Linked DNA regions of Sus scrofa. The protein of the gene in region 1 purifies or fractionates together with the protein of each later gene. This does not show direct contact. Links are inferred from orthologs where the notes say so. Each region holds a gene or a part of one and is shown on either strand. Other genes may lie near its edges. The genes, in order: MCMBP, MCM3 and MCM8.

What was found.
Region 2: the proteins of MCMBP (region 1) and MCM3 purify together in Homo sapiens (affinity purification with mass spectrometry; 10 studies listed by BioGRID and IntAct, counting the BioPlex papers as one, with this or other methods). This does not show direct contact. The link is inferred for Sus scrofa from reciprocal best matches to the Homo sapiens genes MCMBP and MCM3.
Region 3: the proteins of MCMBP (region 1) and MCM8 purify together in Homo sapiens (co-immunoprecipitation; 3 studies listed by BioGRID and IntAct, with this or other methods). This does not show direct contact. The link is inferred for Sus scrofa from reciprocal best matches to the Homo sapiens genes MCMBP and MCM8.

Annotation. Positions count from the first base shown.
Region 1 is NC_010456.5:129,683,101-129,686,751, forward strand, and holds part of MCMBP (mini-chromosome maintenance complex-binding protein), read right to left. Parts: intron 3,170-3,651; coding exon 3,052-3,169; intron 1-3,051. UniProt on the Homo sapiens protein: Associated component of the MCM complex that acts as a regulator of DNA replication.
Region 2 is NC_010449.5:46,101,626-46,105,376, forward strand, and holds the start of MCM3 (DNA replication licensing factor MCM3), read right to left. Parts: upstream 2,801-3,751; 5' UTR 2,674-2,800; coding exon 2,596-2,673; intron 1,360-2,595; coding exon 1,247-1,359; intron 565-1,246; coding exon 356-564; intron 1-355. UniProt on the Homo sapiens protein: Acts as a component of the MCM2-7 complex (MCM complex) which is the replicative helicase essential for 'once per cell cycle' DNA replication initiation and elongation in eukaryotic cells.
Region 3 is NC_010459.5:14,796,751-14,800,401, reverse strand, and holds part of MCM8 (DNA helicase MCM8), read right to left. Parts: intron 1,753-3,651; coding exon 1,670-1,752; intron 1,264-1,669; coding exon 1,114-1,263; intron 1-1,113. UniProt on the Homo sapiens protein: Component of the MCM8-MCM9 complex, a complex involved in the repair of double-stranded DNA breaks (DBSs) and DNA interstrand cross-links (ICLs) by homologous recombination (HR).

The DNA.
Region 1 (3,651 bases):
TACCTTCTTTAGCCTATACCTTAAAAACTCTAAGATGCTGATGAAAGAAATCAAAGATGACAAATATACCATGCTCTTAGACTGGAAGAATCAATATTGTCAAAATGACTACACTACCCAAGGCATCTACAGATTCAATGCAATCCCTATCAAATTACCAGTGGCATTTTTCACAGAAATAGAACAAAAAATTTTTTAATTTGTATGGAAACACGAAAGACCCCCAAAAGCCAAAGCAACTCTGAGAAAGAAAAATGAAGCTGGAGGAATCAGGCACCCTGACTTCAGACTATACTACAAAGCTAGCCATCAAAACATTATGGTACCAGCACAGAAAACAAAAATATAGGTCAGTGGACAAGACAGAAAGCCCAGAAATAAATCCATGCAGCTATGGACAATAAATTTATGACAAAGGAGGCAGGAATATACAATGGAGAAAAGACAGTCTCTTCAATAAGTGGTGCTGGGGAAACTGGACAGCTACATGCAAAAGAATGAAATGAGAATACTCCCTAACACCATACACAGACATAAACTCAAAATGGATTAAAGACCAAAATATAAGACCAAATGCTACATAAAACTTTTACAGGATAACATAGGCTGAATACTGACATAAACTGCACAGTATCTTCTCAGATCCACCTCCTAGACTAATGAAAAGAAAGATCTAAATAAACAAATGGGACCTAATTAAACGTAAAAGTTTTGCACACCAAAGGAAACCCTAAATAAAATGAGAAGAGGAGTTCCCGCCGTGGCGCAGTGGTTAACGAATCCGACTAGGAACCATGAGGTTGCGGGTTCGGTCCCTGCCCTTGCTCAGTGGGTTAACGATCCCGCGTTGCCGTGAGCTGTGGTGTAGGTTGCAGACGCGGCTCGGATCCTGCGTTGCTGTGGCTCTGGTGTAGGCCGGTGGCTACAGCTCCGATTCGACCCCTAGCCTGGGAATCTCCATATGCCGCGGGAGCGGCCCAAGAAATAGCAACAACAACAACAACAACAAAAGACAAAAAAACAAAACAAAAAAAAAAAACCAACAAAAAAAAAACGAGAAGACACACACAGTATGGGAGAAAATATTTCCAAATGAATAGACTGACAAGCGATTCATCTCCAAAACATACAAACACCTCCTGCAACTCAATATCCAAAAAAAATAAAAAATAAAAAAATAAGCAGAAGATCTAAATAGACATCTCTCCAAAGTCAACATACAGATGGCCAAAAAACACATGAAAAGATGCTCAATGTCACTATTAGCGAAATGCAAATCAAAGCTACTAAGAGATATCGTCTTACACCAGCCAGAATGGCCATCATCAAAAAGTCTACAAACAATAAATACTGGAGAGGGTGGGGAGAAGAGAACCCTCTTACACTGTTGGTAAGAATGTAAATTGGTATAACCACTATGGAAAACAGTATGGAGGTTCCTCAAAAAACTAAAAATAGAACTACCATATGATCCAGCAATCCCACTCCTGAGCATCTATCCAGAGAAAACCATAATTTGAAAGGATACATGCACCCCAATGTTCACTGCAGTGCTATTTACAATAACCAAGACATGGAAGCAACACAAATGTCCATCCACAGAGGAATGGATACATATATCCAACAGAGTATTACTCAGCCAGATATACAACAGAGTATTACTCAGCCATAAAAAAGAATAAAATAATGCAATTTGCACCAACATGGATGGACCTAGAAATTATCATACTAAGTGAGGTTAGACAGTGAAAGACAAACATCTCATGATATCACTTACGTGGAATCTAGAAAGAGGAAACAAATGAACTTATTTGCAGAACAGAAACAGACTCACAGACCTTGAAAAAACTATGGTTACCAAAGGGGACAGGAAGGGGAGAAGGGGTAGACTGGAGGTTTGAGACTGACATATGCACACTGAAGTATATGGAATGACTGGCCAACGCGGAAGTGCTATATAGCACAGAGAACTCTACCCAGTATTCTACGATAATCTATGTGGAAAAAGAATCTGAAAGAGAATGGATGTGTGTATATGTATAACCGAATCACTTTGTTGTATGGCAGAAATTATCACAACCTTGTATATCAACTACCAACTACTTCAATAAAGCTTTAAAAAAGAAAAAAAAAAAAAAAAAAAAAAAAGGAGTTCCCGTCGTGGCGCAGTGCTTAACGAATCCAACTAGAAACCATGAGGTTGCAGGTTCAATTCCTGGCCTTGCTCAGTGGGTTGAGGATCCTGCATTGCCGTGAGCTGTGGTGTAGGTTGCAGACGCGGCTCGGATCCCGCGTTGCTGTGGCTCTGGTGTAGGCCGGTGGCTACAGCTCTGATTCGACTCCTAGCCTGGGAACCTCCATATGCCGCGGGAGTGGCCCTAGAAAAGGCAAAAAGACAAAAAATAAAATAAAAAAAAAAAAAAAAAGTGAGTCAGAGTGTGAGAAATGCTGGTCTATTTGGTCCACTACTGTTTCTTCAGGTCCTAGAAGACACTTAATAAACACTAGTTAAATGAATATCTATTTCAACCTCTTACATTTCTCAAGTAGGAAGTGATCAGCATTATCAGTCACATGACTAATCAGAAGCTATTCTCTCATTCCCAAGATCTTAGCACCATACACACACAAAAATGCATTCCAGATGTCCTTGCAAATAAAAGTAACTTGACTTTCCAACCAGAATCAAAATTAGGGAAGTAGAGATAAAGTTATTACCCTGAACTAAAAGAATTGTGCTCCTGTAATTTAGAGTTTCTTTAGATTTAAGATTTTAAAGCACACAGAGGATACCAAATTGTACTAATGAACTGACATTACAGCTAGTGCAATGTTAAGAGAGTTTACTACAGTTGTGTTGTTACTTAGAGAAATTTGTGCTAAGGCAATAAAAGTGAAATGTTTAGGGATGAGCAAAAAACACAGTACTAGGCAGGTTTGTTTTCCCTTAATGAGATCTATTAAAATCTCAAAGCTTAATATTTGGGTTGAACGAAAGACGGATTTTTAAAGGGCACTTAGGTTTATAATACAAATTTATATTGATCTTACTGCTGGAACCAGATGTTGAATAATTCGATACAAGTGTTCTGTGAAGGTACTATTCCGCGGACAACCACTCAAGTTAACCGTAAATTTTCCTAGGGGAAGAACATCTCTTCTTGTATACCTAGAAAAAAAAAAAAAGATGTCAACCAATAAGACACTTGGGTGATTTTCTGATTTCCATCAAAGAGCAAACAAAGCAGAATTAGTTTAATGTTGTTTGAAAATAAAGCAGATTTCGTTGATCAGCTGTTCTTTAGTTTTGTTTTGGTTTTGGCAATATCCACGGCAGAGTTCCTAACTCTGTGCCACAGCAGTGACCCGAGCCACAGCAATGACAACACCGGATCCTTAACCCACTGAGCCATCAAGGAATTCTAGATCAATTGTTTTTTTAATCAGAAACAGCAAAAAATATTATAGCCAGCAGGTCCCATCGCAGCTCAGGGGTTAACGAACCCAACTAGCATCCATGAGGACGAAGGTTCCATCCCTGGCCTTGCTCAGTGGGTTAAGGATCCAGCGTTGCTGTGAGCTGTGATGTAGGTTGCGAACACGGCTCAAATCCCACAATGCTGTGGCTGTGGCGTAGGCTGGCGGCTACAG
Region 2 (3,751 bases), on another chromosome or scaffold:
CCTCATGGTTCCTAGTCAGATTTGTTAACCACTGCGCCATGACAGGAACTCCGATGTACACTTTTAAGCACAGTTCATCCAGAGGGAGAAGTAGCAAAAGTTCAGGGTCAGAATGAGGAGACTGCCAAGAGCGAAGAATCCTCTGCTCTCAGCAGACTTCCTCCTTCTGCTGGCACAGGTCCTCCATCACTGTGCACGGCTGGGCTCCTCCAAGCTTCACCCTGAAATTTCAGTGCTTCACCCTTCTGAAGCCATAAGCTCCCCAACCCTACTGCACCTTTCCTGCCTTCCAGCCTGCCCCACCCCACGTCTATCCCACCTCCATTCAATTAGCCCTCCACTCCAGCCCACTCACATTTAGTGACAATGCCCTCGACACACACGACACAGCTAAGGAAGCAGGAGGTGAGAGTCCGGGGAGAGACGTGCTTGGAGCCAAAGCTGCCCTCCAAACCTATGTAGAACTCCTCATACTGCTTGGCATATGTAGCATCAATGGAGGCCACAAAATCCTTTAAGGCCCGCTGGAAGGCAACCAGCTCCTCAAAAGCATTGTTCAGGAGGCTGCGGATAGGCAAGAAGAAGAATCATTAGGCAGAGAGGGCAGAACTTGACAAACTCAACCTACTGGAGTTCCCGTCATGGCTCAGCAGTGAGCGAACCTGACTAGCATCCTTGAGGATGCGGGTTTGATCCCTGGCCTTGCTCAGTGGGTTAAGGATCTGGTGTTGCTGTGAACTGTGGTGTAGCTCACAGACTTGGCTCGGATCCAGTGTTGCTGTGGCGTAGGACAGCGGCTACAGCTCCAATTGGATCCCTAGCCTGGGAACCTCCATAGGTCACAGATGCGGCACTTAAAAAAAAAAAAAACTCAACCTACAAAACAGCAGTAGACATTTTTAGATAATCAAAGCTTAGGAGTGAAAATCTGGCTTCTACTTTCTCCTGCCATCCTACAAGACCCAGTAAAATACACCAGAACTGAGGGCCAACCTTAATTCAACTTATCAAAGACAGAGACATGATATATAATTAAACACGGTAGGAAGGGCTCTTGAGAGGAAAATGCCTACCACCTACTTTGGAAAGAAGTAAAAAACATAAGAGCAGGTGAGGTACTAAGGGCTTCTAGGTCAGAAACATTTCATCCAGATCCTCTGCTGGGAAGTCTACTCCAATCCAATGAAGAGAAGGGAGCCATTCTGACTCAGGGCCAGGATGTGGCGGTGGACACCTAGCCACTCACCGGTTAGCCCTCTTCTCATTCTTCCTGCGAAGGTCATTCACATTGACAATCAAGCGGTACTGGTTGTCACTGATCAGCTCCCGAACTTTGCTCTGATAAATTCCCTGATCTTCCTGCAAAAGAACCACCACATGTCACAACGGCCACAAATTCAAATATATGATGCTTTTAAACAGAGGCAGCTCTCACAGCAAGATAAATATATCAATCTCTGCAGCAGAGGTGAATCCCAGTTCCTCCCACATTTTCACTCACTAGTCTCACATTCCAAAGACACCTAAGAGACCAGTGTATGAATTATGACTTCCTCAAGACCCATGCTGTAATTCCTATTATCACCAATAGCTCTTCTGTGTGCAGTCATTTCACAACCTTTACTGGGGAATTAAGGACAAGTTAAGGGGAAGGAATAAAGTAGGTGTCTGGGATTAACAGATACATACTAATATATCTAAAATAAACAAGGACCTACTGTATAGCCCAGGAACCATACTCAATCTTATAATAATGTCTAATGAAGAGGAATCTGAGAAAGAATATATATATATGTGTATATATACACACACACACTCATATATAAAACAGAATCACTTTGCTATACACCTGAAACACAACACTAAGTCAACTAGCCTTCAATGTAAAAAATATTTAAAAACTAAAAAAAAAATTTAAAAAGAACAAGTAAAATCCTTGTTAAAATGCAAATTAAACAGACTTTTAATACTCAAAGTGACTTTTCGTTGCAGAATTTTGTCTGGAATTACTTTATTTCCCCAATCATCTGCATAATATAGAGTTCCCATATCCGGACATTCGCAAACAGAGCACTATCAACCCTTCAAGACGCTTTAAACAACATTCTGTGGCTGTCAATCTTAAACTGCATACAAACCCCCCTTATTTGCACGCCAACACTATTTCTCTCCGTCCCAAAAGGTAGGGAAAAAGGAACGCGGCCAAATAAGGGAGTCGTTTCCTCCGGCAGGAAAGTCAGCCACTAAAACCTGGGGACCCTATAAGTCTGCAGGTCACTACCATCACCGTTCTCCAGCGGTCCTTCCCCGACCCTCCCTCCAAATTAAGAGAGCAGGGAGTGAAAAAAGTCAGCGTGGCCTTTGCACTTGGTTTGCGCTTGGAGGAAACCTGCGCCTTTCGCGAGACCCGGCCATCATTTGTACTCTGCAAAGCCACAGGATTGCTCTCAACCACAGACTCCGCTGCCAGAAAGGCTACAAGATCAGGGCGGAAGGTCCCTAACCTCCGTCCCGCCGCCGCAGCCTGGAGCTCCGCGGTCTCCCTCGGCCTCAGTGCGGCCCCCGGGGCTCCTGGACCACCCAGCCCTCCCTTACCTCGTCGTCCAGGAAATCCAGGTAGTCTCTCTGCGCCTCTCGCAGCTCCACATCTTCCAACACCACGGTCCCGGCCATGCTCGCTGCTAAGGAACTCCTGCCAGCGGAGCCGCGCGAAAGAGCCTAGCGTAGCCCCGCCCCGGCGCGAAAACCTCTCTACTTTTCCCGCCAACAAAAGTAACCCCAAGGAAGGGGTGGGGTATTTGGGAGGATATATACACTCTGATTGGCTGGTTATTCCTACGCGAGAACAGCGAGTATCCAATCGAGGACGGCTTCTTCTCTAGGTTTTCTCTGCGGCTCCTCCGAGTGGCGGGAACTGTGCTAGCCGGGCCCCTCCTTACTCCACCTTTACTGACAGGAAAGCTGACCAATGAGATGAGAGGAGGCTCGCAGAGCCTGCTCCTTGGGCAGCCGGAGAGCCAGCGAGACCTGAAGCGCTGCCTTCTGGGAGTCGTAGTCGTCCCTCTTTTTCCTCAATGTTTTACCGGGTGTTTTCTGGTTGCGGTTCCCCGACCTGCCACTGAGTGAAACTCGGCCCGGCGATTGGACTGAAACTAGACTAGACGTCAGAGAATGTGAGTTTAGCATGCAGGGAGAAAAAAACACAAAGGCAAACCGTTTTTAAAATATATCCAATATATATCAGTTGTGCTATAGATAGGTTTTTCAAACGCCCTCTAGTGGCATTCGGGGAAAAAGTGAATTTCGAGAATCTAGGGTGGAGAATAGAATCACAGCATCTTTGGGAGAGGTTCTTTAGTTCAGCAACTCATTTGCTATCTGAATACCGTGGCCTGAAATACCCCACAAAAATATTAGGCCGCGGAAGAGAGGAACGTGAAAGAAAAATTTTCGCGACGTTTCCCCACCCCCACCCCAGATGACCTCGTGTTTTGTAAGAAATTATGGACGTAATTACTACACCATCCTACTCGCAAATGGGTAAGTTAAAGTCTTTCTCGCCTTATGAGAAGTTCACAAAATCTTTTTTAAAAACTTAGCTTATGGAAAGGTAATTAAATAGAAGGAGAAACAAAAGGTGTTTCACGCCACTCTTAAGTTTCAGTCATTAATTAAAACAGCAAATCTGAAATTATAAACAATTAAAAGACCGATTGCATATCGCAGGAGGTTTTTTTGGTTTGTTTTCTTT
Region 3 (3,651 bases), on another chromosome or scaffold:
GACATTTGGATGTGTGAGGCAAGGGGCATTCTATGCCCAATGGATAGCATGTCTAAGAGGTGCAGGATCCAGAGAATCCTGGAGGAAGTGCAGTTTAGCTGGATGGTAGTGAATGAAGGAGAGTGAGGAGAAGGTGAACTAGGTTATGGAAGGCTTTCAGTGACACACAAAGGGCTTGGATATCATTTGGCAGGAAAGAGTCACCAGTTTCCAAGGACAAATCATGTTTTACCATGTATGGCAACAATTAAGGAAAGATAATGAAGACTTAAGATAGAAACTGTAAGGATGGAAAAGTGGTGGATTTAAGAGACATTTAAGCAACAGAAGTGAAAGGATATGGTAACTTAGATAATGAGAACTAATGAGCAAGGGGAGTCTGAAGAAAACAGCCAAGGTTCCCAGTCTTGGGTCACTAGCAGTGTGCACATCTTGGTAATAAACTGTTGCTCACCTCCTCTGCTCTATATCCAGTCTTCAGTACCCCCTTTAAGACTCATCATACAACCGACCATGTCTGTAGACTTCCTCTGCACTTTCCCCATTCCTCCCCAAAAGTTGAAGGTTTTCATCTCTGAATGCAGCTGGCACTTCTCTGTGCCTGTCCTAAGATTTACCACATTTTACCTTGAATCATTTATCTAGTTGCCTGCCTAAAAAATGCTTTCACATATGTTGTGTCATCTAACTCTGAGAAAAACTCAGGCAGGCAAAGCAAATACTGTTAAATTTTTGATCTACACATGGGGACACTTAGGGAGATTAAGTGACTTGCCCTATGCTGCAAAGCCTAAATCTGGGATTAAACTTTTTGTTCCAAGTTCATAACTAGTAACACCATCAAGCCTTATCTTTCCTGTGAGATTACATGCCTCCTTGAAAACGAGGCTTAATTTCTATACAATCTTTGATAAGATTAAACTAATTTAAATAAATGAGAAGTAAATGTTATATTTGGGTAAGCTGCTATACAGAGAGTTTTAGGACAGCATTGCAACCTTTCAGTTTTAGCCAAGTTCTGTTGATAAAAACTAAGAAATCTTTTAGAGATGGGACTGTTACATAAAATCTTCCTTTAAAATTCTGTCAAGTCTCACAAAAATAAATATTTACCTGATGTATTGCCAGACCCATGCAAGCCAGGGTTTTCTCAGGTGTATCCCTTAATTCATTTGCTACATTCGGTATCAATTTAGCTACTTCATCATCCTCTGTCAATTCTTTAAAATCCACCAAAATACTTCCCTTTCTTTCTATTTCATCCTATAAAATATTAAGGTATAAAAACAATGATTGCTTTTTCAGAGTCAATTATCATGCCTGAGCATTCAATTATAAACTTTGAGAAAGCATATATTATTACTAAGGCGATAAGTACTACAAGTTTTGTACTACGCACAGTTTTAATATTAAAATACATCAACTCATTTATGGCTTTAACAACCCTTTGTAGTAGGTACTAGTGATACCATTATCCTCTAATGATAGATGAGAAAATTGAGGCACAAAGTAAGTAACTTGCCAAAGTCCACACTGCTAACGTGGCAAGCTGGGAGCTGGACCAAAGCAGCCCAGTGTCTGTCATCACAATTATTAGCACCTCGAATATACCGCTCAATAAGATGACATATAAAGGTGGACTAATAGCTTTGTGGTACAGGAATCTTACCTTATCATATAAATCAATACGCTTTGTGAAAAAATTTTCAAATGTTTGAATCTTCTCAATAAAAGGAGAGCTGTCACTGTAAACTAATTCAAAAATGGCATCAGCATTAATAATCATTACATATATTTTTCATGAGACAAAATACCACACACACAGTAAATGACTTATCCAATTGCTTTGCATTCTGATTACATTTAGATAAGAAATGGTATACAATGTATACACAAGATTCTAAGGCATGCTTAGGTCTGTACAATCTGAAATGAAGACAGGAAGTATCTCTTCCTAAAAGCCCCGATATCTGAAAATCTTTACACTGAAGCTGTGAACCTAATAGTACTTATTAGTTCACACAGCTTTCATAATGAAGACAAAGCTTGACACATTAAACTATTTTCTTTAACGGTGCTAAAGACAATGCCTTTGCAAAGAAAATTCTACTAGTCCAAAGAGCCACTTGTCAAATCCCTTCCTGAGATCAGGGGCAGCAGACCACCTCTTGACTCTGGTCCCAAAATTGTACAGTTATCTTCCGCAATGTAAAGTTCCATAACATTTTCTTTTCTTTTTTTTTTTTTTTTTTTTTTTCTGTCTTTTGTCTTTTTGTTGTTGTTGCTATTTCTTGGGCCGCTCCCGCGGCATATGGAGGTTCCCAGGCTAGGGGTTGAATCGGAGCTGTAGCCACCGGCCTACGCCAGAGCCACAGCAACGCGGGATCCGAGCCGCGTCTGCAACCTACACCACAGCTCACGGCAACGCCGGATCGTTAACCCACTGAGCAAGGGCAGGGACCGAACCCGCAACCTCATGGTTCCTAGTTGGATTCGTTAACCACTGCGCCACGATGGGAACTCCCATAACATTTTCAAACTGGTCTCTCACACAGCAACGGTACAATGAATCAGTCTGGAAATACAACTGGTCAAAGGTGCTTTGTGAGTTCCATCTTTAGGACTAGTCCAAAGACTACTTCTAATGTTCTGAGCTAAATGTCAGGGAAATAGTGCAGGTGTTGGTGGCTAAACCAACATCCTAAAGCAACAAAAGACACATCAACCATGAAACATATCTAAGTAATAGGAAAAAACAGACTCTCAATATAGAAAACATTTGTAAGCACTTTATTCATTCGCAAAATGAATACTGAGTTCCTGGTATGGGGCAAGATCCTTGGGCTTAAGCAATGCACAATCTATTAGGGAAAAAGCACAGATATATATAAACATAAATGCCACCTCTCAAAAGACATATAATAAGGACATGATACTATCAGAGAATAGAAAAGATGATTCTTCAAACCCACAGAGACAGATGTATAATTTTAACTGGTATTCTGGATTATAAAAAGGAGATCTTTAACTGTGTTTCTACACAAACTGTTGATGGTTGTCTCGGTTCTAGGTCAACCCTTCTATTTTCTCCTCAGTGATTCTCTGATCAAGATCTGAACACTGCATTTCCCAGAATCCTGTTAGGTTCTATCAATTGGAGGCACTTTAGAGATAGGAAAGAAGGGAGGGAGGAAGCTAATTAGTTTATTTTTGTTTTCAATCCTTTTTAGCATCTCTCCAGCTACGGAGGATAGGTCCAGTTCTAGCCTGCAACTCCAGGCACCAACCATGCCAACCTCCTACCAGAATTACCAGCAATACTCAGCTTTAACTTGCCTCAGTGGTCTGAGCATAGCTCTGAAGGATACCCTTCAGAGAGCCAAGCACAGCTTTGTAGGGTGCCTCTCAAAAGTCAAAGCCACAACTAAGAATTCAAACCTCCTTTGAATTTCTAGGTTCTGGTAACCTTAGAAATACTTACCTTTTGTTCCATCAGTCATAAGGGTGGTTGCTGCTTTTCAAAGTTAAAGTTATTGTCTGAGGCCTTACCTCAATGTTCCCTTTTTGATCTTTTCGTCTTCTATCTGTACATCCAATTCTCTGTATTAAATCCCCCTTTTGAAATATCTACTCAGGTTTTTTTCTGACTGA